3 linked regions of the Lonchura striata genome follow. The protein of the gene in region 1 interacts with the protein of each later gene in a biochemical or structural test. Links are inferred from orthologs where the notes say so. Each region holds a gene or a part of one and is shown in the gene's direction. Other genes may lie near its edges. The genes, in order: U2AF2, PRPF40A and TCERG1.

Region 1 (7,684 bases):
GAGGACGAGGAGGAGGACTGAGCGTTCCCGAAAAACGGGAATTCCCGGAATTCCGTCAGTCCGGGGGTGCTTCGGGGGCGCTGCGAGGGGATTGTGGGGGCTTGAAAGGGTTAAAATTGGATTTGTGGGGTTAAAATTGGATTTTTGGGGTTAAAATTGGGATTTTGGGGGGTTGAAAGGGTTAAAATTGGAGTTTCTGGGGTTAAATTGGGATTTGTGGGGAGTTGAAAGGGTTAAAACTGGATTGGGGGGGTTGAAAGGGTTAAAATTGGGGATTTTGGGGTTAAAATTGGGATTTTTGGGGAGTTGAAAGGGTTAAAATTGGATTTTTGGGGAGTTGAAAAGGTTAAAATGGGAGTTTTGGGGTTAAAATTGGGATTTTTGGGGACTTGAAAGGGTTAAAATTGGATTTTTGGATTTAAAATTGGATTTTTGGGAGTTGAAAGGGTTAAAATTGGGGATTTTGGGGTTAAAATTGGGATTTTGGGGTTAAAATTGGGATTTTGGGGTTAAAATTGGGATTTGTGGGGAGTTGAAAGGGTTAAAATTGGATTTTTGGGGTTAAAATTGGGATTTTTTGGGGAGTTGAAAGGGTTAAAATTGGATTTTTGGAGGGTTTAAAGGAATTTTTGGGGTGAAAATTGGAAGGTTTTGGGTTTAAATGGGATTTTATGGGTGTAAATGGATTCTGGGCCGGTGGAGCCGAGGAGGAGGACTGAGCATTCCCGGAAAAACGGGAATTCCCGGAATTCCGTCAGTCCGGGGGGCGCTGCAAGGGTTAACGTGGGGGTTTTGGGGGTTAAATTGGGATTGTGGGGAGTTGAAAGGGTTAAAATCGGATTTGTGGGGAGTTGAAAGGGTTAAAATGGGAGTTTCTGGGGTTAAAATTGGATTTTTGGGGTTAAAATTGGGATTTGTGGGGAGTTGAAAGGGTTAAAATTGGGGATTTTGGGGTTAAGATTGGATTTTTAGGGAGTTGAAAGGGTTAAAATTGGATTTGTGGGGAGTTGAAAGGGTTAAAATGGGAGTTTTGGGGTTAAAATTGGATTTTTCGGGGGTTGAAAGGGTTAAAATTGGGGATTTTTGGGGAGTTGAAAGGGTTAAAAATGGATTTTTGGAAGTTTTAAAGGGGATTTTGGGGTTAAAATTGGAAGGTTTTGGGTTTAAATGGGATTCTGGGCCGGTGGAGCCGAGGACGAGGAGGAGGACTGAGCCTTCCCGAAAAACGGGAATTCCCGGAATTCCGTCAGTCCGGGGGGTGCTTCGGGGGCGCTGCGAGGGTTAAAGTTGGATTTTGGGGGGGTTGAAAGGGTTAAAATGGGAGTTTCTGGGGTTAAAATTGGATTTTTGGGGTTAAAATTGGGATTTGTGGGGAGTTGAAAGGGTTAAAATTGGGGATTTTTGGGGGGTTGAAAGGGTTAAAATTGGGGATTTTGGGGTTAAAATTGGGATTTTGGGGTTAAAATTGGGATTTTGGGGTGTTAAAAGGGTTAAAATTGGATTTTTGGGAGTTAAATTGGGATTTTTGGGGGGTTGAAAGGGTTAAAATTTATTTTTGGGGGTTTTTGGGATCTGGGGCTGGAATTTTGGGAATTTTGGGATCCGGGGCTGGAATTTTGGGAATTTTGGGATCCGACGTTGGAATTTCAGGATCCGGGGTTGGAATTTCAGGATCCGGGGTTGGAATTTTGGAATTTTGGGATCCGAGGTTGGAATTTTGGGATCTGACGTTGGAATTATGGGATCTGGGGCTGGAATTTTGGGAATTTCCGGATCCGAGGTTGGAATTTCGGGATCCGGGGCTGGAATTTTGGGAATTTCCGGATCCGGGGCGGGAATTTTGGGAATTTCGGGATCCGAGGTTGGAATTTTGGGATCCGAGGTTGGAATTTCGGGATCTGGGGCTGGAATTTTGGGAATTTCGGGATCCGAGGTTGGAATTTCGGGATCCGGGGCTGGAATTTTGGGATCTGGGGCTGGAATTTTGGGAATTTCGGGATCCGGGGCTGGAATTTTGGGAATTTTGGGATCCAGGGCTGGAGTTTTGGGAATTTTGGGATCCGGGGCTGGAATTTTGGGAATTTCGGGATCCGGGGCTGGAATTTTGGGAATTTCGGGATCCGGGGCTGGAATTTTGGGGATTTCGGGATCCGAGGTTGGAATTTCGGGATCCGAGGTTGGAATTTTGGGAATTTCGGGATCCGGGGCTGGAATTTTGGGAATTTCGGGATCCGAGGTTGGAATTTCGGGATCCGGGGCTGGAATTTTGGGAATTTCGGGGCCCCCCGTGATGGCAGCACTGGGCTCTGACCCCTGATGGATCCCTGTGCCCCTCCCCCACGCGGGGGGGTCTGAGGGGGCCCCAAATCCCAAATCCCCCAATTTGGGGCGAAAGTCGGGAACTTTTTGGGGAGAATTTCGGGAATTTTGGGGGAAAACTTCAAGAATTTTTGGGAAGAATTTTGGGGAATTTTTTGGGGGGGAATTTTGGGATTTTTTTGGAGGGGAATTTCTTGGGGGGGAATTCTGGGAATTTTTGGGGGAATTTCAGAAATTTTTGGGGGCATTTTGGGAATTTTTTTTTGGGATTTTGAGAATTTTTGAAGGGAGTTTCGGGAATATTTTGGGGGAATTTCCAAATTTTTGGGGGGGAATTTTGGGAATTTTATTGCGGTACTTCTGGGAATTTTTTGGAGGGAATTTTGGAATTTTTTTGGGGAGAATTTTGGGGAATTTTTTTTGGGAATTTCAGGAATTTTCTGAGGGAATTTTTTGTGGGAATTTCAGGAATTTTCTGGAGGGAATTTTGGGAATTTTTGGGGGAAATTTTGGGAATTTCGGGCTGGAATTAACCCTTTGTTGTCTTGCCTCCAGGTGACGCCGCCGGAAGTTCGGAGTGGGGAAATTCCCGTCAATAAAAATTGAAATTTAAAAATGAAAAATTAAAATATTTTTGGTTTTTTTTTTTCTGAGAGCTGCCCCAGCTGGGCCTGGCACACCTGGGACAAAAAAGACCGAAAAAAGGGAAAAAGGGAAAAAGCAGGAAGAAAATACTATAAAAAGGGGAAAAAGAGGGAAAAAAAGATCGAAAAATGGGGAAAAAAGGGAAAACAGGGGAAGAAAAGGGGGAAAAAAGGGGAGAAAAAGGAAAAAAAGACAGAAAAAAGGGGAAAAATGGGGGGAAAAGGGGAATAAAAGGAAGAAAAGACTGAAAAAAGGGATAAAAGGGGGAAAAAGGGGAAAAAAGGCACAAAAGCGGAAAAAGGGGAAAAAAAGACTAAATAGAGGAAAAAAGGTGGAGGGAAGGAAAAAAAGACAGAAAAAAGGGGAAAAATGGGGGAAAAAGGGGAATAAAAGGAAAAAAAGACTGAAAAAAGGGGGAAAATGGGGAAGAAAAGACTGAAAAAAAGGGGAAAAATGGGGAAAAAGACCGAGAGAAGAGGGGAAAAGAGGGGAAAATGGGGAAAAAAGGGGAAGAAAAGACAGAAAAAAGGGGAAAAAAGGGAAAAAAAAGACCGAAAAAAGAGGGGGAAAGGGAAAAAAGGAATAAAAGGGGGAAAAAGGGGAAAAAAGGCACAAAAGGGGAAAAAGGGAAAAAAAAAAAGCCTAAAAAAGGGAAAAAAGGGGGAGGGAAGGAAAAAAAGACTGAAAAAAGGGGAAAAATGGGGGAAGAAAAGACTGAAAAAAGGGGAAAAATGGGGGAAAAGGGGGAATAAAATGAAAAAAAGACTGAAAAAAGGGGAAAAATGTGGGGAAAAGGGGGAATATAAGGAAAAAAAGACTGAAAAAAGGGGGAAAAGGGGAAGAAAAGACAGAAAAAAGGGGAAAAATGGGGGGAAAGGGGGAATATAAGGAAAAAAAGACTGAAAAAAGGGGGAAAAGGGGGGAAAAAAAGACAGAAAAAAGGGGAAAAAGGGGAAAAAGACCGAGAGAAGAGGGGAAAAGAGGGGAAAATGGGGAAAAAAGGGGAAGAAAAGACAGAAAAAAGGGGAAAAAAAGGAAAAAAGACCGAAAAAAGAGGGGAAAAGGGGAAAAAGGGGAAAAAGAGGAAAAAGGGAAAAAAGGGGAAAAAGGGGAAAAAGGGAAAAAAGGGGGAAAAGGGGAAAAAAGGGAAAAAAGGGGAAAAAAGGGGAAAAAGGGGAAAAAAGGGGAAAAAAGGGAAAAAAGGGGAAAAAGGGAAAAAGGGAAAAAAGGGGAAAAAGGGGAAAAAGGGGAAAAAGGGGAAAAAGGGGAAAAAGGGGAAAAAGGGGAAAAAGGGGAAAAGGGGAAAAAGGGAAAAAGGGAAAAAGGGAAAAAGGGGAAAAAGGGGAAAAAAGGGGGAAAAGGGGAAAAAGGACAAAAGGGGAAAAAGGGGAAAAAAGGGGAAAAAGGGGAAAAAGGGGAAAAAGGGAAAAAAGGGAAAAAGGGGAAAAAGGGGAGCGGGCTTCGGGCCCGAGCGGGGCCGGGAAGCGGCGGGAAAAGCCGAGCGGGGCCGGAAGTTCCCGAGCGGCGCCGGAAATTCCCGAGCGGCGCCGGAAGTTCCGAGCGGGACCGGAAGCGCCGAGCGCTGGCGGGAGTTCCCGAGCGCCGCCGGGAATTGCCGAAGCGGCGGCGGAAGGAGCCGAAGGCGCGGCCGGAAGCGGCCGAGCGCGGCCGGAAGCGGCGGAGCGCGGGCGGAGGCGGCGCGGCCTGAGGGCGGCCGTGAGGAGCGGGGAGGCGCCGGGAGAGCTCCGGGAAAGCTCCGGGGAGGCGCCGGGAAAGCTCCGGGAGGCTCCCGGGGAGCCGCCGCCATGTCCGACTTCGACGAGTTCGAGCGGCAGCTGAACGAGAACAAACAAGGTACCGGCCCCGCCCCCCCCACGGGCCGCGCCTCACGGGGGGGGGGAACGGGGGAGACCCCCCCAAAAATTGGGGGAGACCCCCCCCCACCACCCCAGCCCAAATTTGGGGTTCCCCCCCCCCCGGTTTTGGGGTTCCTCCAGTCCCGGTTTGGGTTCTCCCCCCGAAAATTTGGGTTCGACTTTCGGTGCCCCCCCCTCCCCTTCCCCAAATTGGGCTCGTCCGCCATTGGTTTTGACCCCCCCCCCAATTTTGGGGTTCGCCCTCCCCAAATTTGGGGATCCCCTTCTAAATTTGGGGTCCCCCCCACACGAATTTGGGATCCCCCTCTTAATTTGGGGTCCCCCCACACGAATTTGGGATCCCCCCTCTCCAATTTTGACCCCCCCCCCCAATTTTGGGGTTCGCCCTCCCTAATTTGGAGACCCCCCCCTCTTAATTTGGGGTTCCCCCACCCCAAATTTGGGGATCCCCCCTCTTAATTTGGGGTCCCCCCTCTCCAATTTTGACCCCCACCCCCAATTTTGGGGTTCGCCCTCCCTAATTTGGGGATCCCCCCCTCTTAATTTGGGGTTTCCCCACCCCAATTTTGACCCCACCCCAAAATTTGGGGACCCCGCTCTTAATTTGGGGTTCCCCCACCCCAATTTTGTCCCCCACCTCCAATTTTTGGGGTCCCCCCACCCCAAATTTGGGGACCCCCCTCTTAATTTGGGGTCCCCCCACACGAATTTGGGGTCTCCCCCATTCCAATTTTGACCCCACCCCAAAATTTGGGGTCCCCCCACCCCAAATTTCGGGATCCCCCTCTTAATTTAAGGTCCCTCCTCAAGAATTTGGGATCCCCCCCCATTCCAATTTTGACCTCCACCCCAAAATTTGGGGTCCCCCCACCCCAAATTTGGGGATCCCCCTCTTAATTTGGGGTTCCCCCTCCCCAAATTTGGGGATCCCCTTCTTAATTTGGGGTCCCTCCTCACGAATTTGGGATCCCCCCCATTCCAATTTTGACCCCCACCCCAATTTTTGACCCCCACCCCAAATTTGGGGATCCCCCCTCCTAATTTGAGGTCCCCCCTCCCCAAATTTGGGGACTCCCCTCTTAATTTGGGGTCCCCCCCACGGGAATTTGGGGTCCCCCCCTCCCCAATTTTTGACCCCACCCCAATTTTGGGGAACCCCCCCCCTCGAATTTTGGATCCCCCCAAATTTTGGGTTCATCCTTCGTGACCCCCTCCCCCAAATTTTGGGGTCCCCTCCTCCAATTTTGGATCCCCCCCAAATTTTGGGATAATTTTGGGTTTTTCCCCCACAATTTTGGGATAATTTTGGGGTTTTACCTCCCAATTTTGGGATAATTTTGGATTTTTCCCCTCACAATTTTGGGATAATTTTGGGTTTTTTCCCCCCCCAATTTTGGGAGAATTTGGGGTTTTTTCCACCCAAATTTTGGGATAATTTTGGGTCTTTTCCCCCCCCAATTTTGGGATAATTTTGGATTTTTCCCCTCACAATTTTGGGATAATTTTGGGGTTTCCTCCCCCCCCAATTTTGGGATAATTTTGGGGTTTTTTCCACCCAAATTTTGGGATAATTCTGGGTCTTTTCCCCCCCAATTTTGGGATAATTTTGGGGTTTTACCTCCCAATTTTGGGATAATTTTGGATTTTTCCCCTCACAGTTTTGGGATAATTTTGGGTTTTTCCCCCCCCCAACCAATTTTGGGATAATTTTGGTTTTTTTCCACTTTTTTGGGGTTGATTTTGGGGTATTTTCTCCCCTCGCAGAGCGGGACAAGGAGAACCGGGGGTTTGGATTAGTTTGAGTTTATTTTATGATATGTTGGGTTATTTTGGTTTATTTTAGGTTTATTTTAGGTTTATTTTGGGTTAATTTTGGCCCATTTTGGGTTAATTTGGGGCCATTTTGGGTTAATTTGGGGCCATTTTGGGTTAATTTGGGGCCATTTTGGGTTAATTTTGGCCCATTTTGGGTGTTTTCTCCCCTCGCAGAGCGGGACAAGGAGAACCGGGGGTTTGGGTTAGTTTGGGATATTTTGGTTTATTTTAGGTTTATTTTGGGTTTATTTTGGGATATTTTGGGTATCTTTGGGGCTATTTTGGGTTAATTTGGGGCCATTTTGGGTTAATTTTGGGCCATTTTGGGTGTTTTCTCCCCTCGCAGAGTGGGACAAGGAGAACCGGGGGTTTGGGTTAGTTTGGGATATTTTGGGTTGATTTGGGGTATATTTTGGGTTTATTTTGTGATTTTTGGGCCATTTTGGGTTAATTTTGGCCCATTTTGGGTTAATTTTGGCCCATATTGGGTTAATTTTGGGCCATTTTGGGTGTTTTCTCCCCTCGCAGAGCGGGACAAGGAGAACCGGGGGTTTGGGTTAGTTTGGGTTTATTTTATGATATGTTGGGTTATTTTGGGATATTTTGGGTTATTTTGGGATATTTTGGGTAAATTTTGGGATATTTTGGGATATTTGGGTTGATTTTGGGACTTTTCCTCCCCTTGCAGAGTGGGACAAGGAGAACCGGGGGTTTGGCTTGTTTGTGATATTTTGGTTTATTTTAGGTTTATTTTGGGCTTATTTTGAGCTATTTTGGGTTAATTTTGGGCCATTTTGGGTTAATTTTGAGCTATTTTGGGTTAATTTTGGGCCATTTTGGGTTAATTTTGGGCCATTTTGGGTTAATTTTGGTGCATTTTGGGTGTTTTCTCCCCTTGCAGAGCGGGACAAGGAGAACCGGGGGTTTGGGTTAGTTTGGGATATTTTGGTTTATTTTAGGTTTATTTTGGGATATTTTGGGATATTTCGGGTTAATTTTGGGTTAATTTTGGCCCATTTTGGGTTAAT
Region 2 (7,020 bases), on another chromosome or scaffold:
ACCGCGTTTTCCCGGGAATGCCAGAATTCCAAAGGCACGGGAAATGAAAAATCCATTTCCAAGTCCTCTCCTTTCCCTCCTTGCCCGGCCGCCGATTCAGGATGCCGGGACAAGCCGAGATTCCCTGTGCGAGCCCTCTCCCTGCTGGCCGCTCCAGGAATTCGCCTGGAATTCTCTGCCTTTCCACAGGAAATCCTGGGAAACACCCGAGAGCAATTTTATATTCAGTTTACAGGAAATAAAAGTTTTTCTACGAGAAAAAATAAAGATCACTGGTTAAATATATTCCAGCTAACAGGTAAAATTCCATGGAAAGGGAATTCCAGAGCTCATTGTCCCAAATATCTTATATTCCAGAATTCCATGTTTCAGAATTTGCGTTGCAGAATTTAAATTTCAGGGGTTTTATTTCAAAATTTGCGTTCCTGAATTTTTATTTCAGAATTTTCACTTCTGTTTTTATTTTGGAGGTTTTTATTCCTGAATTCGCATTTCAGAATTTGCGTCTCGGGGTTTTTTATCTCAGAGTTTGCGTTTTCAAATTTACATTGCACAGTTTTCTATTTTAGAACTTTCAGCTCAGATTTTTTTATTTCAGAATTTCTATTTCAGAATCTGCAATTCAGAATTTTTATTTCAGAATTTCTATTTCAGAATTTCTATTTCAGAATCTGCAATTCAGAATTTTTATTTCAGAATTTTTATTTCAGCATTTCTATTTTCAGAATTTCTATTTTCAGAATTTCTATTTTCAGAATCTGCAATTCAAAAGTTTTATTTCAGAATTTTTACTTCAAAGTTCTCTTATTTCAGAATTTGTATTACAATTTTTAAAAAATTTTGGAGTTCTGTATTTCCTACAAATCCTGCCTGAAAATCCAGGTTAAAAAGCAGAAGTTTCCTCCAGGATCAGGAAGAAGAGTGAAGGATTGGATGCTCTATCAAAATTTCTGTAAAAACACAAAAAAAAGTTTAAAAAATCAGGAAAAAAAATTAAATCAATTCACTTGATTTGGACTGATTTGAGGCAGCTGTGCTTAAAAATAAAGAAATAAAAATACTCCAAGTACTAAAGTTACACCTTGGGCTGCCAAAAGCAGCTGTGCCCCGCTGGAGCTCTGCTCCCTGCACACCGGGAGAGACTGAAATGAGATTTCAAGATTTAATTGAAAATCAATTTAAATTTTAATTTCACTGCTTGATCATGGCCGAAAAATCGGATTAATCAAGACCTTTTTGGGTGGATTTAGAGAATTCTTTAAGCTCGGGGAGGTGAGGGTTGGTGTTTATCCCAAGAGTCCAAGGAAGAACCTGGGAGAGGGGAGGTGTCCCTGCCCACGGGAATGTGGGATTGCAGGAATTTTTGTCCTTTTTTATCCCAATAATTCCATATTTCCATGAGCCGAGCCAAACCAGCCCCTGGCTGACAGCAGCCACGGGATTGATTAAATATCTGTACCCCAAAATGCAAAATGAGGTGTTTGAAAACCGTGGAGGCGTGTGGAAATCCAGGAATATCATGGAAAATAAATCCACATCCCTGACGATCCCTCTGCTCAAGGGGAAGAACGAGACATGGGCAGGGGACAGGAAAATATTCCAAGTTTTGTAACTTCAGGAAGAAAAACATGGATAAATAAACATGCCAAGGGGGCAGAGATCATTCCCTGGATATCCTGAGTCGTTCCGCTTTGGAGTCCCCACTTAAATTCATTTATCCCGCAGAATTGGGGATTCTGGCTGGGAGGGATTTTGGGAATTGGGAATTCTGGCTGGGAGGGTGGGCTGGAATTCCCAAAGAAGCTGAGGCTGCCCCTGGCACAGCCACGGCCTCGCAGCTGCCAGAGCTCCCGGAGCGCGTCCCGATCCCAGCGGGACATTCCCGATTCCCAACGGGACATTCCCCATTCCCAATGGGACACTGCCCATTCCTCCGGGACATTCCTGATCCCCAGCAGGACACTCCCCATTCCCAATGGGACATTTCCAATGGAACATTCCTGGTTCCCAATGGGACATTCCCAGCGGGACACTCCCGGTTCCCAACGGGACATTCCCGGTTCCCATTCCCGATCCCAGCGGGACACTCTCGGTTCCCAATGGGACATTCCCGGTTCCTATTCCCGGTTCCCAATGGGACATTCCTGGTTCTCAATGGGACATTCCCGGTTCCCATTCCCGATCCCAGCGGGACACTCTCGGTTCCCAATGGGACATTCCCGGTTCCTATTCCCGGTTCCCAATGGGACATTCCCGGTTCCCAATGGGACATTCCCGGTTCCTATTTCCGGTTCCCAATGGGACATTACTGGTTCCCATTCCCAATCCCAGCGGGACATTCTCCATTCCCAATGGGACATTCCCATATTCTCAATGGGACATTCCCTGTTCCCATTTCCCGGTTCCCATTCCCTGTTCCCATTTCCCGGTTCCCACTCCCGGTTCCCATTCCCGATCCCAGAGGGACATTCCCATATTCTCAATGGGACATTCCCTGTTCCCATTCCCTGTTCCCATTTCCCGGTTCCCATTCCCTGTTCCCATTTCCCGGTTCCCACTCCCGGTTCCCATTCCCGATCCCAGAGGGACATTCCCATATTCTCAATGGGACATTCCCTGTTCCCATTTCCCGGTTCCCATTCCCTGTTCCCATTTCCCGGTTCCCACTCCCGGTTCCCATTCCCGATCCCAGAGGGACATTCCCTGTTCCCATTTCCCGGTTCCCATTCCCTGTTCCCATTTCCCGGTTCCCACTCCCTGTTCCCATTCCCGATCCCAGCGGGACATTCCCTGTTCCCATTCCCGATCCCAGCGGGACATTCCCTGTTCCCATTCCCTGTTCCCATTTCCCGGTTCCCATTCCCATTCCCTGTTCCCATTCCCGATCCCAGCGGGACATTCCCTGTTCCCATTCCCGGTTCCCATTCCCGGTTCCCATTCCCGGTTCCCATTCCCGATCCCAGAGGGACATTCCCGGTTCCCATTCCCTGTTCCCATTCCCGGTTCCCATTCCCGGTTCCAGCGGGACATTCCTCATTCCCAATGGGACATTCCCTGTTCCCATTCCCTGTTCCCATTCCCTGTTCCCATTTCCCGGTTCCCATTCCCATTCCCGGTTCCCATTCCCTGTTCCCATTCCCTGTTCCCATTCCCGGTTCCCATTCCCTGTTCCCATTCCCGGTTCCCATTCCCGGTTCCCATTCCCGATCCCAGCGGGACATTTCCTGTTCCCATTCCCGGTTCCCATTCCCGGTTCCCATTCCCATTCCCGGTTCCCATTCCCGATCCCCGCGGCCGCTCCCCTCAGCGGCACCAACCACTGCGCGCGGCCCGGGGGGGGGACCGGCGCCACCCCGGCCGCGCTCGGCACGTACCACCGTCACGCAGAGGGGGGGGTACACTGACCCGGCGCGTACCACCCGCGTCCGCCTGAGGGGAGCTCTACCGCCACCTCCCGCCGAGTTGGAGCTGCGGCGCGCGAAACCACCCCCTCCTTCCGGCGCTGTTGGTGCCGCCCGGCGCAGCGCGCACCTCCCCCGGCCCCACGTGAGCGCTCTCCCGGCGTGCCCCGCGCTCGGCCGCCGCAGCCGCCGCTCCGCTCCGCGCGCCGCGCTCCCGGCCGAGCCGCCCGCGCCGCCGCGGGGCCGCCCCGCTCCCCGCCAGCATGTCCGGCGGCGACTCCACCGCCGCGGCCGCCGCCGCCTCCCCGCAGCCTCTGCCGTTCTCTCTGCCGAAACCGCCGCCCCTGATGCAGCTGACTCCGGGCGACGCGGTGCGGCCGGTGGGCTCGGGCGCGGACCAATCGCCGAAGAGCGCGCGGCTGGCGGCGCGGCCCGATTGGCCGGCGGGGAAGCCGGTCAGCCTGCTGGCGCCGCTGCTGCCGCCCCGCGGCGAGCCCGAGCCGCTGCTGCCCTTCGGGCCCGCCGCGCCGCGCCCGCCCCTGCGCGGCCGCCTGCTGGGCCGCTGCGGCGGCTCGCTGCTCAGCCCCGCCATGCGCCCCGCCGCCGTGGACCGCGCCTCGCTCATGGTCAGTGCCGCGCCGGGCCGGGGGAGCGGGGGCAAATCCATGAACGGGCTCGGGGAGCTGGCCCGCGCGGGGGTGGAGTTCCTGCTCCTGTGCAGGTGGGATTCCTGGGTATCGGTTCTTGTCTGTAAAACCCTCTCTGGGCACCTGGAGCCCGCACAGGGAAGGAGTTCTTGCGTGTGTTCCTGGGCATCAGTCCCTGCCCATCAGACCTCTCTGGGCACCTGGAGCCCGCACAGGGAAGGAGTTCTTGCTTGTGTTCCTGGGCATCAGTCCCTGCCCATCAGACCTCTCTGGGCACCTGGAGCTCATACAGGGAAGGAGTTCTTGCTTGTGTTCCTGGGCATCAGTCCGTGCCCATCAGACCTCTCTGGGCACCTGGAGCTCATACAGGGAAGGAGTTCTTGCTTGTGTTCCTGGGCATCAGTCCCTGCCCATCAGACCTCTCTGGGCACCTGGAGCTCATACAGGGAAGGAGTTCTTGCTTGTGTTCCTGGGCATCAGTCCGTGCCCATCAGACCCTCTCTGGGCACCTGGAGCCCACACAGGGAAGGAGTTCCTGCTCCTGTGCAGGTGGCACCTCGTGGGTATCGGTTCTTGTCTGTAAAGCCCTCTCTGGGCACCTGGAGCCCGCACAGGGAAGGAGTTCTTGCTTGTGTTCCTGGGCATCAGTCCGTGCCCATCAGACCTCTCTGGGCACCTGGAGACCACACAAGGAAGGAGATCCTGTTCCTCTGCTGGTGCCATTCCTGCGCATCAGTCCCTGCCTGTCAAATCCTCCCTGGGCACCTGGCACCTGTATAAGGATGGAGTTCCTGCTCCTGTGCAGGTGGCACTACCTGGGCGTCAGTCCCTGCCCATCAGACCCTCTCTGGGCATCTAGAGCCCGAATAAGGAAGGAGTTCTTCCTTGTGTTCCTGGGCATCAGTCCCTGCCCATCAGACCTCTCTGGGTACCTGGAGCTCACACAAGGAAGGAGTTCCTGTTCCTGTGCAGATGGCATTCCTGGGCATCAGTCCCTGATAGTCACCTGCACAGAGAAGGAATTCTTGGTCCTCTGCTGGTGGCATTCCTGCGCATCACTCCTTGCCTGTCACCCACGCAAGGATGGAGTTCTTGCTTCTGTGCAAGTGGCACTTCCAGGTGGCACTTCCTGGGCATCAGTCCCTGCCCATCAGACCTCTCTGGGCACCTGGAGCCCACACAAGGAAGGAGATCCTGCTCCTGTGCAGGTGGCATTCCTGGGCATCAGTCCCTGCCTGTCACCCACACAGAGAAGGAATTCTTGGTCCTGTGTAGGTGGCACTTCCTGGGCATCAGTCCCTGCCCATCAGACCCTCTCTGGGCACCTGGAGCTCACACAGGGAAGGAGTTCTTGCTTGTGTTCCTGGGCATCAGTCCCTGCCCATCAGAGCTCTCTGGGCACCTGGAGCCCACACAAGGAAGGAGTTCCTGCTCCTGTGCAGGTGGCACTTCCTGGGCATCAGTCCTTGCCTGTCACCCACGCAAGGATGGAGTTCTTGCTTCTGTGCAAGTGGCACTTCCAGGTGGCACTTCCTAGGCATCAGTCCCTGTCCATCAAACCCTCTCTGGGCACCTGACACCCTCACAGGGAAGGAGTTCCTGCTCCTGTGCAGGTGGCATTCCTGGGCATCAGTCCCTGCCTGTCACCCACACAAGGAAGGAGTTCTTGGTCCTGTGCTGGTGGGGCTTCCTAGGCATCAGTCCCTGCCCACCAAACCCTCTCTGGGCAGTGATGCCCGCACAGGGAAGGAATTCTTGGTAGTGTGCAGGAGGCACTTCCTGGGCATCACTCCCTGCCCATCAAACCCTCTCTGGCACCTGGAGCCCACACAGGAAGAAGTTCCTACTCGTGTGCAGGTGGGGCTTTTTGGGCATGAGTCCCTGCCCCCCAAACCCTCTCTGGGCACCTGTCACCCACACAAGGAAGGAATCATTGAAAAACTGAAAGGTGCGGAAATTAAGGGAGAATTCCTCCCCTGTGAGGGTGGGGATTCCTGGGGTGGAATTCCAGGCTGCCTCATCCCTGGAAGTGTCCAAGGCTAGGTTGGAGCACCTGGGACAGTGGAAGGTGTCCCAGAGGCTGAAACTGGAGGCATTCAGGTCCCTCCTACCCAAACCATTCTGGGATTGTGTCTTCAATAATTTGGTTTTTTTTTTCCCTTTCCTGCTAACTATATTTTCCAAATGGAAACTCTGCCTGGGTTTTATCCTAAGGAACTCCGAGAGCTGTGGAACAGAAATCTCTGGGAGTGTTTGAATCCCTGAAAAGCCCAGGGAAGGGGATCTCCTTTTCCCCCTGCTGGGTGTGTCTGGGGCGCTCGCCTCGCCGCTGATTTTTTTCCCTGGTTGTTTTCCAGATGGGCCACCCGGGAATGCCCCACTACCCCCCGATGGGGATGCACCCCATGGGGCAGAGACCCCCCAACATGCCCCCGGTCCCCCACGGGATGATGCCGCAGATGATGCCCCCCATGGGGGGACCCCCGATGGGGCAGGTAAGGCAATTCCAGCAGCTCCTGCTCCATCCCTCAGGAAAAGGGATCCCTCCAGCTCCCTGGGAGAGGGAGAGGAGAGAATTCGGGAGTTTATCCTAACCGGGGGAAAACCCTTCTTACGGGCAGCAGGGAGTGGATGCACCTTGGTGACTTCAGTTAGTAATTGGTATGGGAGCAGGTAATTAATGCACCTCTAGCTTCATTTTCAATCCAGAATTTGGGATCGAGTCAAGTTTTTTGGAATGAAAACAGATAATGTAATGCACCTCTTAATTTTCAATCCAGAATTTGGGATTGATTCAAGTTGTTTTTTGGAAGGAGAAAAGGTAATTAATGCACCTGTAACTTGAATTATCAATCAATATATTGGGATCGATTCATGTTTTTTGGAATGGGAAAAGATAATTAATGCACCTCTATTTTTCAGTCCATAGATTGGAATTGAGTCAAGTCTTTTTTTTGAATGGAAACAGATAA
Region 3 (7,417 bases), on another chromosome or scaffold:
AGGCCAAGGAGCTGCAGAGGTGATGTGCTGCAGGCAGCCGGGCCGGGCTCTGCTCTGCTGGGCTCTTTGCAGCCATCACCTCCAGTGAGCTCCTTTGGGCTAACCCCTGCCCTGCCTGACACGGGGCACCTCTCAGACCCCCCGGCCATCTGCTGCTCTTACCATGGCTGAGCCTGCACCCCTTTTTCCCTGTAGGAGGGAATCTGCAGGCTCCATGTGTAGAGGAAAAAATGGGATGTTTTCATGTAACTACAGGGAAAGCCTGGGACCAGACTGGGGAGCTCCGTGCCCAGAGTCTGGGTGCAGCACACCGAGCCGTGCTGCGCCATGCCCACACACAGGAGGTGCCCTGTTAAATTTCAGTAATGCCCAGTCCCACTTGCTCCCCACAATGCCCAGATGCCCAGATGCCCCACGAGGCCTTAGAACTCGCCAGCCCAGCTCCAAGGCTAAGCAGGGGCACAGCAGCCATGGCCCCCAGGGCCCCCACGGCTGGAGGGGATGGGGGTCTCCCCATGGCCTCAGCCCCAGCTCCAGCAGTGATCCGTGAGGCTGGGAAAGCGGGGCACCTCGGTGCCAGCAGGAGCCTCCCCCCACTGCCACCCTCCAGCATGGCATCTGGGGCTCTCCCTGGCAGATGCTGGCACCGCAGCAGCCCAGAGGCCCTGCAGACAGCTCAGGGCAAAATTTTTATTTGTCATCACACTTCAACCTGAAATCTGAAGAAATGAAAAAAGAATGGCAGGATGTTGGCGTCTCTGAGATGACACAACCCCATGGCTGCTGCAGCTCCGCGGCAGGGGCCAGTCCCAGCAGTGGGAGCCCAGAGCAGCTCAGGGGCTGCCACACTGCACCAGGAGCCTTGCTGCTGAAACCAGCTCAGGGACAGAGCTGCAACCGGGATGAAGAAGGCCACTCACCCTGGACCAAGAAAACACAAGAACATGGGCAGGTCTGAGGGGAACATCCACACTGTGGGGCTTCAGGATTCCTTCTGGCAGAGAACTCAGACTGTCATAAACAGCCTTTCAAAAACTACAGAGATCCAAATACTTGAGGAGGTCCCCAGTTGAAAACCTCCCTGGGAACAATTTCTGGGGCAAGAGCAGCAGCACTGGCAGCAGCAGAGCAGCTCTGTGCTGGTATCTGGCACAGCCAGCAGCTTTCCAGCCAGGGAACAACGGCTCTGGGAAGGGTTGGCAGCAGAGACAGGGGACCAGGGCTGCAGTGGGGGTTCCAGCTGCAGACTTTTCTGGGAAACCTGGATCCCCAGTGCACCCACAGCCATTCCATTTGCAGAATTCCATCAGCAGATCCACTAGCTCTGCAACGGGTGTGGGTGTGGGATTCCCCCAGAGAGATTTCCCCTGGCTCCAGGGCTTGCCACAGCCCCATTCCCCAAGGAGCACGGTCAGCAATGCCCTCCCAGCCCCAGGAACAGTCCCACGGCTTCCTGAGGGGATGAACAGAGCCTGCTGCTCAGTCCCCTGGCACCTGCACCCCCAGAGCCCACGGGAGTTAGGGAGAGTGTCCAGGCAAGCAGCCAGTCAAGCCTTTGGGATCCTTGGTTTCAGTGAAATCCAGGGAAGTGTGTATCAATCACAGTAAATTGTACTGCTGCCAAGAGCCACGTCCTGCAGCACAGGGAGCTGCCAGCAGATTTGTCAAAATGCCTCGTGTTTTGCAGCTCACTGCTAACCAACTGCCCCTGAAGGAGCTGCACGCTGAGAATTCCTGACTGGAATGTTCTGAGAACACAGAGATGAGGGAGCTAGGGTACAGCAGCAGCTCCAGCCCCCCTGAACCTGGGAGAAGGCCCTGCAGCTGCTCCCGCCCGCTTGACATCAATAAAACATGGAGACAACCGGGGAACAGGGAGATAAAAAGAGGATGAAAGACGCGTGGAAGACAGGCAGCCGCACTGTGTGTGGAGGATTTGAGCACTCGTGGGCAAAGCAGTTTTAATGTGTGGCACAGAAGTGCTGGTGAGGAGAGCAGAGGCACTGTGCAGGGCCCGGCCTGGGCACCGGGCAGACACACGGGCAGGCTCCGGGGAGCCCAGCACCCCCGGCCCATCCCAGACCTCACAGCGGCAGCAAAATCCAGCAAACCCCGAGAATACAGACCCCGCAGCGACACCGGGGTGGGTGAGTCTCCGTGGCTCAGCACCCCCAAAAGGCCCCCGAGGAATTCCCTATTGTCGATCTAAGAGAAGACAGATCTTCCTATTGAGAGCAGGAATGGGACGTGGGATCGCGAAAGCAGCTGCACGTCCCGGGAACACGTCCCTGGCGGCTCCTGCGCACCGAGCGCTGCAGCCGCCGGTGCTGCCCAGCAGCGCTGGATGTCCCCCAAACGCTCCCGGGGCTGGCAGTGCCCACCGCAGGGCTCACCCGGGGCTGGCAGTGCCCACCCGGAGCTGGAGCCCCCGGTTCTCCCCCGGTTTCCCGTTCCCCCAGACCCCCCCGGTTCCCCGGACACCCCGGTTCCCCGGACCCCTCCCGCTCCCCCGGTTTCCCGGACCTCTCCCGTTCCCCCGGTTCCCCCCTGGTTCCCCAGACCCTCCCCCGGTTCCCCGGACCCCTCCCGCTCCCCCGGTTCCCCCCCGGTTCCCCGGACCCCTCCCGCTCCCCCGGACCCCTCCCGCTCCCCCGGTTCCCCCCCGGTTCCCCGGACCCCTCCCGCTCCCCCGGACCCCTCCCGCTCCCCCGGTTCCCCCCCGGTTCCCCGGACCCCCCCCCCGGTTCCCCGGACCCCTCCCGCTCCCCCGGTTCCCCCCCGGTTCCCCGGACCCCTCCCGCTCCCCCCCGTTCCCCGGCGCCCCCGCGCACACAGCGCCCCCTGGCGGCCGCCGCGCTCCCCCCGCCGGGATCGCTCATTGGCTGAGCGCCCCGTGACGTCACGGGACGGGACATTCCCTGTGTGGTCTGGGGCTGCGGGCGCTGATTGGCGCATGTGGTTCCGCCCGCTGATTGGACGCTGCTCTTCCCCTTCCCCCTGCGGCGCGAGTCACTTCCGCTCCCCTCCCCGGGCCGCGCCTCACGTGACCGCAGGCGCGAGCGGCATGGCCAATGGCGGCGCGCCCGGCTCCCCCCATTCAGAGCCGGCGGGCGCGGCGGCCAATGGCGGGGCGGGCTGGGCCCCGCGCGCGCTGACGGGAGGGCCGGACGGCCAATGGCGGAGCGGGCTGGGCCCCGAGCGCGCTGACGGGCAGGCCCGACGGCCAATGGGGCGCGGCGGGGCCCGCGGGGGGGTGGGGCGGCTGCGCGCGACGGCGGCGGCCATGGCGGAGCGGGGCGGCGGCGGCGACGGGGAGGCGGCGGCGGCGGGCGAGCGCTTCGGCACCGACCTCCGGTACGGCGGCCGGGCCGGGCCGGGCCGAGACCGGCGTGCCCGGCGGGGCCGGGGCTGGCGGGGCGGGCCGGGGCGGCTCTCCCGCCCGCATTCCCGCCCCGCGTGCGACGGGACGGGCCCTGTTCCCGCTCACCGGCCGGGGCCGCTCCCGGGCGTGGGGCCGGGCGGCGGCGGCTCCGCTCCGGGTGCGGACAGGCCGCATCTGGTGTCGTCCCCCGCCTGGGCCCCCACTGGCCCGTTGTGTGGCCCTACGCTCGGGGCTGGTAAAGCCGTGTCCCGGAGCCGCAGGGCAGCGTGCGCCGCTCCGGACGGCGGCGGGTTCTGAGAGCCCGTGCGGAGCGCCGGCCGGCTCAGCGCGAGACCGCGGCGCTCGGGCCGGGCCTGCCGGGGTCCGGCCCTGCCCCGGACACGGCCCTGCCCCGGGTCCGGCCCTGCCCCGGACACGGCCCTGCCCCGGGTCCGGCCCTGCCCCGGACACGGCCCTGCCCCGGGTCCGGCCCTGCCCCGGACACTGCCCTGCCCCGGTCCGTCCTCCCGGCACACAGAGCCCCTGGCAGCCCCGGCGCTGCAGAGCCGGCACTCCGGGCACGGCCGGCCGCAGGGCCCGGACGCAGTTGCAGGCAGCAGCCCGAGCTCCAGGTCGTGCTCAGGAGCTCTGGCAGATAAGGAAGGATGCGCTTCCCAGTGGCTGCCTACCCCATCCCAGCTCTGCTGTCCTTACTGTTGGTGTAGTGTCTGTTGGTTCTCTAAGAAAGGAAATCTGCTTGAAATTGTATTGTTGTTATCTGCTTGGCCATTTGCACGAGGCGAAATTCACACTTGAGCACTGATAACCTCTAATTGTGTGGCAGAAGTACATGTTGAAGTAGTCACACATTTGGTTTCACCCGCTCAAACGTGACCCGTTTGGCTCCCGCTGTCGGTGTCTCGGTTTCCCCGGATCCTGCCGCAGCTGGTCCCCGTGCAGCCGCGGCCGGCAGTGACCCGTGTTCCTGTGCCTCTCTCCGCAGGATGGCTCAGCAGCAGGCGCTGCGGTTCCGTGGCCCCGCGCCGCCCCCCAGCGCGGTGCTGCGCGGCCCCCCGCCCCTCCTGCGGCCGCCCCCGCCCTTCGGGATGATGCGGGGCCCTCCTCCGCCCCCCCGGCCCCCCTTCGGCCGACCCCCCTTCGACCCCAGCATGCCCCCGATGCCGCCGCCGGGGGGGATCCCCCCGCCCATGGGGCCTCCGCACCTGCAGGTAAGGCGTTCTCCGGAGTTGGTTAGGTGGCATTCAGGGGGTTTCGTTTGCTTTCACACATGGAGGTGTCCACCTCTGGGCTCCTCGAGTTCAGGAAGGACGTGGAGGTCTGGAGCGTGTCCAGAGAACCGCAGTAGAGCTGGTGGAGAGTCTAGAGTACAAGTCTAGGGCAGCTGAGGGGCAGCTGAGGCATCTTGCAGGGCTCAGCATGGACAAAAGGAGGCTCAGGGTGGTGCTGGAGTCCCCTTCCCTGGAGGTCTCCAGGGAACAATGGGATGTGGCACTCGGTGCTCTAGGCCGGGTGACAAGGTGCGGATGGGGCACAGGTTGGACTCGATGGGCTGGGAGGTCTTTTCCAATGTAACTCGTCTGTGATTGTGTGGAGATAGTGTGAGAATGGACACTGAAGTGGGTGAAGGAACAGGAAGGCAGGATGAGAGCACAGTGTTCAGGTGAGGTGTTACACCCCTCTGCATACCTGTGCTGTGCAAATACAGTTTTTGCTCAGCTCCTCTGCTGCTAAACTGATGGATGGTTTAAGGTCTTGTGTTTGATTTTCTAAGGCCTGAGTTTGCAAGGGACAGCACCTTTGTGAATGAGAAAGGGATTCTGTTATTTAATAGCTTTGTGGGGGTGCCTTCCCATTAAGGCAGTATCAGTGCCGTGTGGGCCGTGGGTATGCTGAGGAGCTGAATGGCACCACGTGCCATTGTGGATTAAATCCACTATTTGTAATTACAGTTTGAAGAACCAACCAGAGTTACTTTGGATGCCAGGCCTGGCTGTGGGTGTCTCCTGTGTTTGGTTTCCATGCAGGGAGTGCTGCTGCTCCCAGGTGTCACACAGGCTGTGAGCTCTGCCGCTCCTCAGCAGCCCCAGCCATGGCTGGTGTCTCGGGCTGGGCTGAGCTGAGCTCTGCTCCTGCTGAGGGCTCCGGCCAGAGGCAGGTGTGATGGGGAAGGGCCTCTGCTCAGAACGGGTGTGCTGGGACTCTGGCTGCACACCTGGCACTGACTGCCCGCCTGGTTTTACTCATGCACTGGGGAGAGGAGCTGTAGCAGGGAGAAATTGGGCTCCTTCTCATTGGATTCTTCATGCAAGTTGTAAGAGCAAGAAAGAGGAAGCTCATGGTGAAGCAGGTGCAAGAGCTGTTGGGGAAGAAGAAGGGAGGGAAGGCAGGCTGCAGTTGAGTTGAGGGCTTTTTTTGTTTGTGTAGAATGCCATCCATGTACTCTTGGCTTCCTTTTTTAGTAGTATTTAATGCAAATAATTGTTACTAGTTTGGTATGTGGATTTAAAGAGCAGTTTCAAATAGCACTCTTAGAGAGAAAGCTGGATCTCAGGGCAGCTCCCAGCAGAAGCCAAGGACATGGCAGCTCTGGCAGCTGCCAGGGGTACAGCTGCAGTTGTGGGTGCAGGGAGACAGCTCAGGGCCCCTGTGTGCAGCTTGTCCCCAGGCCATGGGCTGTCCTGGGTGTCCCAGCGCCAGGCCCGCCGTGGGCTCGGGGTGAGCACGGCACTCGAGGCTGTCATTCAGTCAGAGCTGGAGTGATGGGGACAATCGGGGCACTTTGGTGTTTAATAGTAATTTAACACTTTGGTGTTTAATAATGAGGGCACTTGTAGGTGTTTGCAGAGTGAGCTAAAGAACTCGGTGAGCTTTGTCAGCTTTTTACAGAAGCGTTCACTGTACTTGTTGCATATAGGGAATTTCAAACAGTCCAAGTAAATAAGTAAAATGAAAGAACTGAATGTACTTTGAATTACCAGAGGTGTTCAGGCTTTCAGGTAACTGTGTGCAGGACAGGTCAGGATTTCTTATCATGCAATAATGAACATGTAATTTCATATTTTTATTCTAATTAGCACTAGCTAGAATTTTAGTTAGTGGGAAATTTAGTTGTGTAATGTATTTTAATTAACACACTGCTCAGCTGTACTGACAAACTGGATGCTTACTTGTAATTTGGGTTTTTCTAACATATCTTTCCTGGGACGGTTGTTGTATTTCTGGGGTATTTGGTTCATAGATGGCAATGTCTGAGCAACAGCTATTTGGGTCTTCCATTCTTTCTCTTCCTTCCATTGACATATTTTCTTCTTTTCAGGAGAGGACTTTGACCACATTTCTGTTCATGCTACCTTTTTTAGGTGCCTGCACATTTGTATCTCAGAAGTGATGGCTTCAGCTGTTCTGCCATGGGTGGGGGGTTGGCTTGGGAGCACATTCCCTGAGCTGGGAGCACTGGATCATTAGAGAAGCTTCTAAGTCTGGCACAGCTGTCCTTACTGTTGGTGTAGTGTCTGTTGGTTCTCTAAGAAAGGAAATCTGCTTGAAATTGTATTGTTGTTGTCATTATCATCATTATTGTTATTATATGCCTTTAGAGACCACCATTTATGCCTCCTCCCATGGGTAGCATGCCACCACCTCCTGGTATGATGTTCCCTCCAGGAATGCCGCCGGTCTCCGCGCCGGGAACACCAGCAATGCCCCCAGCTGAGGAGATCTGGGTAGAGAACAAAACTCCAGATGGGAAGGTGAGATGGGGGCTGTGGGTGGTCCTGCTGTGACCCTGGGCACGCTGGCTGGGCTGGGATATCCAGGTGGTGGGGCCACCGTCCCGTGTTGTGGCAGGGCTGGGATATCCAGGTGGCTGGGATGCCTGCCATGGCGGGGCTGGGATGGCCTGGGTGGCAGGGCTGCTGTCCCACGGTGTGGCTGGGCTGGGATATCCAGGTGGCTGGGATGCATGCCGTGGCGGGGCCGCCGTCCCACAGTGAGCCTCAGTGTGACGGGGCCACTCTCCCCAGGTCTATTTTTACA

Evidence for each region.
Region 2: the proteins of U2AF2 (region 1) and PRPF40A form a complex in vitro, tested with the Homo sapiens proteins (2 studies listed by BioGRID). The link is inferred for Lonchura striata from reciprocal best matches to the Homo sapiens genes U2AF2 and PRPF40A.
Region 3: the proteins of U2AF2 (region 1) and TCERG1 form a complex in vitro, tested with the Homo sapiens proteins (2 studies listed by BioGRID). The link is inferred for Lonchura striata from reciprocal best matches to the Homo sapiens genes U2AF2 and TCERG1.

The regions. Positions count from the first base shown.
Region 1 is NC_134640.1:2,651,068-2,658,751, forward strand, and holds the start of U2AF2 (splicing factor U2AF 65 kDa subunit), read left to right. Parts: upstream 1-4,618; 5' UTR 4,619-4,769; coding exon 4,770-4,818; intron 4,819-7,684. UniProt on the Homo sapiens protein: Plays a role in pre-mRNA splicing and 3'-end processing. By recruiting PRPF19 and the PRP19C/Prp19 complex/NTC/Nineteen complex to the RNA polymerase II C-terminal domain (CTD), and thereby pre-mRNA, may couple transcription to splicing.
Region 2 is NC_134610.1:1,400,908-1,407,927, forward strand, and holds the start of PRPF40A (pre-mRNA-processing factor 40 homolog A), read left to right. Parts: upstream 1-3,938; 5' UTR 3,939-3,991; coding exon 3,992-4,027; intron 4,028-6,405; coding exon 6,406-6,543; intron 6,544-7,020.
Region 3 is NC_134617.1:454,902-462,318, reverse strand, and holds the start of TCERG1 (transcription elongation regulator 1), read left to right. Parts: upstream 1-4,365; coding exon 4,366-4,590; intron 4,591-6,978; coding exon 6,979-7,131; intron 7,132-7,404; coding exon 7,405-7,417. UniProt on the Homo sapiens protein: Transcription factor that binds RNA polymerase II and inhibits the elongation of transcripts from target promoters. Regulates transcription elongation in a TATA box-dependent manner.